2 linked regions of the Stegostoma tigrinum genome follow. The protein of the gene in region 2 binds, or shares a complex with, the protein of the main gene of each other region. Links are inferred from orthologs where the notes say so. Each region holds a gene or a part of one and is shown on either strand. Other genes may lie near its edges.

Evidence for each region.
Region 1: coq4 (region 2) and coq7 share a complex: the UniProt entries of both Homo sapiens proteins name them as parts of the multi-subunit COQ enzyme complex. The link is inferred for Stegostoma tigrinum from reciprocal best matches to the Homo sapiens genes COQ4 and COQ7.

Annotation. Positions count from the first base shown.
Region 1 is NC_081376.1:54,706,854-54,710,772, reverse strand, and holds the start of coq7 (5-demethoxyubiquinone hydroxylase, mitochondrial), read left to right. Parts: upstream 1-880; 5' UTR 881-934; coding exon 935-1,201; intron 1,202-3,335; coding exon 3,336-3,450; intron 3,451-3,919. UniProt on the Homo sapiens protein: Catalyzes the hydroxylation of the 5-methoxy-2-methyl-3-(all-trans-polyprenyl)benzoquinone at the C6 position and participates in the biosynthesis of ubiquinone.
Region 2 is NC_081382.1:2,449,852-2,453,770, forward strand, and holds the start of coq4 (ubiquinone biosynthesis protein COQ4 homolog, mitochondrial), read right to left. Parts: upstream 2,424-3,919; 5' UTR 2,327-2,423; coding exon 2,188-2,326; intron 2,113-2,187; coding exon 1,957-2,112; intron 757-1,956; coding exon 660-756; intron 1-659. UniProt on the Homo sapiens protein: Lyase that catalyzes the C1-decarboxylation of 4-hydroxy-3-methoxy-5-(all-trans-decaprenyl)benzoic acid into 2-methoxy-6-(all-trans-decaprenyl)phenol during ubiquinone biosynthesis.

The sequences.
Region 1 (3,919 bases), on a different chromosome or scaffold from region 2:
GGTGACACTAAGGTGAGTGGTTGAGCAAAGTGTGCAGTAGACACTGGAAGTCTACAAAGGAGTATATAGTCTGAGTGAGTGGGCAAAGGTCTGGTAGATGGAGTAGCTGTGCAAAGGGACTTGAGTGTCCTTGTGCACAAATTGCTGAAGGCGGGATTGCAGGTGCAGCAGACAATTAAAAAGGCAAATGGAATTTTGACTGCCTTTGCTGAAGGGATGGAGTTTAAAAACAGGGAGGCAATGCTGCAGCTGTATAGGGTCCTGGTGAGGCCACACCTGGAGTACTGTGTGCAGTTTTGGTCTCCTTACTTGAGGAGAGATATATAGCACTGGGGGAGGTGCAGAAGAGATTCACTCAGTTGATTCCAGAGTTGAGAGGGTTGGATTATGAGGAAAGACTGAATAGACTGGGATTATGCTCATTGGAATTCAGAAGAATGAGGGGAGATCTTACAGAAACATATAAGATTATGAAGTGATAATGGGAACTGCAGATGCTGGGGAATCCAAGATAATGAAATGTGGAGCTGGATGAACACAGCAGGCCCAGCAGCATCTCAGGAGCACAAAAGCTGACGTTTCGGGCCTAGACCCTTCACACTTTATTATCTTGGATTCTCCAGCAACTGCAGTTCCCATTATCTCTGACCAAGCAGCATGTTTCCTGCTCCTCTGATGCTGCTTGTCCTGCTGTGTTCATCCAGCTCTCCACCTTGTTACCTGGCGTTCTCCAGCATTTGCAGTTCCCATTGCCTATGAGGCGTGGTCCCGGTGATGGGGCGGGGCTCGACCATGTGGGACGTTTCCCGGTGAGGGGGCGGGGCCTAGCTGTGGGGGCGTGGTCGCCGTGGTGGGGTGGGGTCCTGCTGAAGGGGCGGGGCTCAGTGTGGCTGTCTCCCCGCCCCCTTTCGTTCAGCCCGGGGCGGCCTGCGGGATGGCGAAGACCGGAGCCTGCGTTCGGCTTGGAGTGTCCGCCCTCTGCTCGCCGTCGCTACTGAGGAATGCCAGGCCTCCCCTGCAGCCCCTCCAGCCGAGTCCCTGGCCTGGGCTGAAGGCCGCTAGGGCCCTGAGCGGCTCGGCCGAGAGGGCGATGCTGGGCCGGATCATCCGAGTGGATCACGCCGGGGAGTACGGGGCTAACCGCATCTATGCCGGGCAGATGGCCGTGCTGGGCCGCAGCCCCGTGGGGCCTATCATCCAGGTATTTACCACAGAGTGTGAGAGAAATGCTGTAGGTTCCTGGCAGACTGGCATTGACAATAACCCGTGTTAGCAGCTAAATGTTTACACATCATTTAGTCAGCAACCTCCCTCTACATTTCACAGGAATTTACTTAGAGCAAATCACATCTTCTTTTAAACTGAATTGCTGCATCTGAAACTGCTTTACAAAAGAATTTTCAAAAGTCTGTCCTTGTATGATCTTTCCAAGGCCCCGTTCTCTCCCAGAGTCGATGAAGCAGCCAATGCGCTACGTTTACACCACCCCACAGGTTGGACCTGAAGGAGAGGAACACTCTTCACTTTGTAATATGGAACCGAAGACTCTGGGTGCCATAGAAACTACAGGCAGCACTGGGAATGTGGTGGTGAAATTTTGCTGTGACAGCCACTTGCTTTTATTTGTACAAATGAGGTGCAGAAGTAAGATATTTGGCCCCTCAAGGTTGCTGCACTAACCCTGGATTACCTTAGAATCACTTTCCCAACAAGAATCTAACTTCTTCCACCTTACAAATGTACAATGACTCTGTCTTCTGGAGCAGAAATTTCCAAAGTTGCACAAACTCCTCTCTCTGTCATAAAAGGGTGACCCCTAATTCGAAACAGCACTCCCTGCTTCTGCACTGACCCACAAGATCAAACATCATTTCCTCACCCACTTTGTCAAGACCTGTCAGTCTTATACGCTTTGATTGAATTCCCTTCGGCCTTCTAAACTCCAGTGAAAATAACTCCAGCCTGTCCAAACTTTTGGCATTAAAAAATCTGCTCATTCCAACTATCAATCTAATAAAGGTTCAACAAACCCTCTCCAAAACATTTACATACTTCCTTATGAGGAAGACCAAAACTGCACTCAGTATTTGAAATATGGTCTCACCAATGTCCTGTATAACTGAAGCATTAACATCTTTAATTTTCCATCTATTTCCTGTGGTGATAAATTTCAATATCCAATTTATTTTCCTGATTAAATGCTGTAATTGCAAATTAATTTTCTCTGATTCATGCACTTGAAGACCCTCTTCTACTCAGAATTCTGCAGTTGTTTCCCATTCATGTCATGCTGTGCTATTTTATTCCTCCTGCCAAAGTGAAACAACTTTCTCTCAGATTTTTGACCTCACTCAACTTGTTTACATCAGCCTGTATCCTTGTTATATCATCTTCACTGTATTCTTTCCTACCTGTCTTTGTCATCAATTTTAGCCAATCCCCTCAATGAAGTAATTGACATCAATTTTTTTAAAAAAACTGAGGTCGCAGCGCAGACCCTTGTGGGATCGCATGTGTTGCCGATCTGAAAAAAAGAATTTATGCATCCTGTCTGTTTTCTGCCAGCTGGCCAATTTTCTATCCATACCAATATGTTACTTCCTATACCATGAGATCCTCCTTTGTGCAAAATCTTTTGTATAGAATGTTATCAGATGCTCTCAAGAAAATCAAGTATATCAGTAGGACTCCCCTTGACCATGGAACATGTTACTGCTTCAGAGAATTCCAGTAAAACTATTAAGATTTTTCCTGATTACATTGAATTTTTCCATTTGCCCAGTTTTAACCTCCTAAATGATCAATTCTAATAGCTTCCTCTTTACAGACATCAAATTTACTGGCCTACTTTTTTCTGTTTTCTACCTCCCTTCTCGAATAGAAGGTTTATATTTTCACTTTCCCGTCCAACTGAAGTTACCTCATTGGTCATCTGTTTTATTAAACTAGGACGAAGTATTATATTGATTATGACTAGTTTTGTCACTAAATTAAAGATAGATTTCTCATTGATTTCTACAATAACAGAAAATCTTACTATTTCTGGGAAAGGAAAAGTTGAAATGTGAAGAAAAAATGTTTGTTTAAAATACACAGTAGGGACTTGCTCTAAAACCACAAAATATAGGAGCAGAATTAGGCGATTCAGCCCATCAAGTCCAGTCCACCATTCGATCATGGCTAATACACTTCTCAAGCTCATTCTCCTGTCTTTTCCCCATAATCCCTGATCCCTTTATTAATCAATAAACATCCTAATGGACAGCAGATTAATGTGCTCGATAATTGATATCAATGGTGCAGTAAATTAACTGAAATTAATATTCATGTTTCAGCAAATGTGGGATCAAGAAAAGGAACATCTGGAGAAATTTAATGAATTGATAGTTGATCACAGAGTTCGGCCGACGCTTCTAATGCCTTTCTGGAATGTTGCAGGATTCGTGTTGGGTAAACATCCATACGTATTAAATCTCTATCCTCAATTAATTCTTAAAGGTAGCCAGCACAGCTGCGTGAAAGATACACAGCATCCACAGATCTTTTGGTTTTTTATTCAGTAAAAGACAGATTAAGCTCAAATAGTCTCATTCAATTTCAGGGTGGGTTGGAGGAACAGAGTAGGGAAGTTAATGCAACTTTATACGGTGTGGGGTGAGACCACATCTGGAGTGCTGTGAGCAGTTTTGGACCCTTTATGTAAGGAAGGATATTGTTTCATTGGAGACAGTTCAGAGAAGGTTCAGTAGGATGATCTCTGGTATGGGGGGATGACAAGGTGTAGAGCTGGATGAACACAGCAGGCCAAGCAGCATCAGAGGAGCAGGAAAGCTGACGTTTCAGGCCTAGACTCTCCTTCAGAAGTGGGGGAGTGGAAGGGGTTTCTGAAATAAATAGGGAGAGGGCGGAGAGGGATAGA
Region 2 (3,919 bases):
CGACTGAATGTGGCAGGACTGCAGAGCTTAGATCTAATCCATCAGTTGTGGAATCGCTAAGCTTTGTCTATCACTGCTGTTTGGCATGCATGCAGTCCTGTTTGATAGTTTCACCAGGCCGACAACTCTCTTTTAGGTATGCCTGGTGCTGGTCCAGGCTTTGTGCACTCTCCACTGAACTAGGTTTGCTTCTTGGCTAGATGGTAATATTGCTGAGAGTCTGGAGTCACGTGGGCCAGATCAGATAAGTATGATAGATTTCCTTCCCTAAAGGACATTAAAGAGCCAGACAGATTTTTCAGCCCAGCAACTATATCGTCACCATTAGACTGTCACTCAATTCAAGACTGTAATAAATTCAGATTTCAACATTTGCCACGGTAGAGATTTGAACCCATATTCTAAGAGCATGAGACTGGAGCTCTGAATTACTGGCTTGGTGACATTACCCCACACCACTGCCACCTCCAGTGACCCACCCTCTAACCCCTTTATCTCTGCCCACAGTGTCACGCCCTCTGCCCCTGTATTCACAGCATCTTCTGCCTTTATTTCAGCTATCCTCCTTTTTACTTTATCAAGATCAAATTCAAGCAACCGGCTCCTTTTACCAGTTATCACTGCCTCTACTCCAGCATGAATACTGCAGCTGCACTTACTGCAGAATCTGGAATCCCTCAGGATGGTTTTGCATCCTGTCTCGCAGCTTTTGGATTGCCAGTAGCCCTGTTGTTTCTCCCAGTACAGCCACCATATCTGCAACAAGAAGAAAAGAGAGCAAATTTGAGTAAAAAGGCCCAGACCATGGCAGGATGGATATCAAACAATGACGAGGCAGAATACAGAAAAGAGACGGAGGGCTTTGTTACGTGGTGCAATGAGAACAATCTCTCTCTCACTGTTGGCAAAACCAAAGAACTGATCATTGACTTCAGAAAAAAAGGACACCCCTCTGCATCTACATCAACGGAACTGGGATTGACAGGGTTGGGAGTGTCAAGTTCCTAGGAGTGATGATAACCGACAATCTGTCCTGGACTTCCTATGTAGATGCAACAGTCAAGAAGGCACAACAATGTCTTTTCTTCCTCATGTGGCTCAGGAAAGTTGGCACGTCCATAAGGTCCCTCACCAACTTCCAGAGATGCCCCATTGAAAGCTTACTGTCCCGTGTATAACGGCCTGCTACGGCAACTGCTTCGCCCAGAACTGTAAGAAACTACAGAAGGTGGTGTGCACAGCCCCGACCATGACTGAAGCCAACCTTCCATCCATGGACTCCATCTACACAACTCGTTGCCGCAGAAACGCAGCCAACATCAAAGACCGATCCCACCCCATCAGTGCTCTCTAACCTCTTCCATCAGGCAGAAGATGCAGAAGCTTGAACACACACCAGCAGATTCAAGAACAGCTTCTTCCCAGATGTTATTAAGACTGGTGAGCGGACCTCTCCAACTTCACATAATGTTTATCTTGTTAAGGTTGATGTTGCCTAGCACTCACCCTGTGCCTGTATGCCTCTGTCCAATTTTTTTTTCACTCTTATGATCTGCACATCCTTGCTTACTATGATCTACCTGTACTGCTTGTAAACATAGCTTTTGACTGTACTAAGGTACACATGACAATAAATCAAATCAAATCAAATCACAAACTGGCTTCACGTCATAAATGCTACACAATTAAACTACAAGACAGCAGTCCTTTCAGCTAGGATTAACTCCGGGGCTTGAATACAAAAACACAGGCTGACAGTGCAGTGAATCCAGTTTGATTCTGATCATCCCCAGTGGCTCCAGTGTGACACTGAACCTCCTCAATGTGCCCCTGACCCTTCCTAGTGAATCTAGGACAACTCTGATCCCGCTCAGTTGATCCAGGGTGACCTTGACCCTCCCCAGGGTGACGGATAAGGTCCAGGATATGAGTGTGTTGCTGTCGGTGGGATCTTACCGTGCCGGTACGGGTTGTACAAGGCCATGAGAGCGGATCCTGAGGCCAGCAGCAGTTTCTGGAGCCGGCTGCTGGGGATGTGGCTTTGATATCGGCGGCTGTGGACGGCCTCCTGCTCCCGGGCGCCTGCCTCTGGACTCACTCCCTCCCCGAGACCTAAAAAAGTACAAACCCGGTGAGAGCGGCCCTCAGTCCTACCGCCGCCCCAGCTCAGGGCCCGGGATCACTTACCGGCTGAGACCGTGGCTGCAGTCCGCACCGAACCTGATGCCAGCCGCAAGCCCGGGCTGAGCCTCCCGCCGCGGCCTGACAGTCCGTGCAGGCCCCGGGACAGATTCAGGGCCAGGCCCCGGGCCCTACTCCTCAGCATCGTCCCACAACAGAGCCACAAGCAGCGGCAGCTCCCTAACAACGGCACCGCTCGTACTCCAGCACCGCCGCCTCCTCACTGCGCAGGCGCAACGTCAGGGGACGGGGCAGGGAGAGTGTCTGGGTCAAAGAGCAGGCGCAACAATGTCCAGGTCTCAGCTCTGCCAATGCCTCTGTCATTACCAACTATCCATGTCCATTGAGCTGGTGTTTTTAATCTGAGAACCCCGTACAGTCCTGACCCTCTCAACCATAGGATCACTTGCATAGGTTATTTCAGGCAAACTAATGTTCCAACTCAAATTTGCAAATAAAACAGAAACTGTCAACAATCCACTGCAAAGCCTCTTCTAAGGATGCCTACCCTGAAGAAATTACCCTCCTCTGTCCATCTTCGGTCCACCTCCCCCTCTCTCCCTATTTGTTTCAGAACCCCCATTTCTGATGAATGGTGTCGGCCCGAAACGTCAGCTTTCCTGCTCCTCTGATGCTGTTTGGCCTGCTGTGTTCATCCAGCCCCACACTTTGTTATCTCCGATTATCTAGCATATGCAGTTCCCATTATCTCTCAATAAAGTCAATGTACGTTGAATAGACAACAGGAGAGGAGTTTCAACCAATAGTACAGAGATAACAAAGTGTGAAGCTGGATGAACACAGCAGGCCAAGCAGCATCTTAGGAGCACAAAAGCTGACGTTTCAGGCCTAGATCCTTGGAGCTGCCCAGCCTGAGTTGTGTTCACTTCATTGGCAATCATCAACTTGTACTTAGACAACACATTTCATGTAAAACAAAGCTCTTCACATGGGTTTCCAAAGTAATTAAAACAATAACAATGAGTGTAATCAGGGATACAGAGGAGAGCAGTTTTATGAGAGCGCAAATATCTGAGGATTATAGAACCGAAGAAGATTGAGGCCACAGAGATAACTAAACACATAGATATGTGCAAGAATGTTAAAATGAGAATACTGCAATAACTCAAGCAATGTAGAACAGCAAGCATGGTGTAATGGGAGAAATAGGGCTCTGAGCAAATTAGGATGATAGAGGGGAGAATGGAGGCCAGAATTTATTTGGAAATAGTAATGCCTGCATTAATTTTGCACAGCAGACAACAATGTCATTATCTATGCCTGTTAGTATGTATACATGTATAACTGTATAGAGATATATGTAAAAAACTACAGAAATGCTGGGTGGCAGGTCTGGCAGCATCTATGAATAGACAAAGTCAATTTTTCAGGCTGATGTCCTTTCACCAGTTCCAACGTGGACACTGACATCTTAACTTGATTTCTCCTTCTAATTTTATTTCAAGTATCAGATCGATTCTCCACCATCAATTACTTTTGCAGGTATTTGTTGTAGCACCATGTTCTGTGGACAACTACAACAACATTTCGATTGGGGGCCATTAATTGTTTTGAGGAAGGCATTCGGTTTTATTCACTTGCCCATGATCCTCAACGAGAAGTGTGTGGACAGACAGGAGTTGAGTATTGGGTAAATATACAGTGAAATGCTCATTATGGCTGGATGAACTAGACTCACATTCAAGAACCAGTGGATGTGGTGTATTCAGATTTTTAG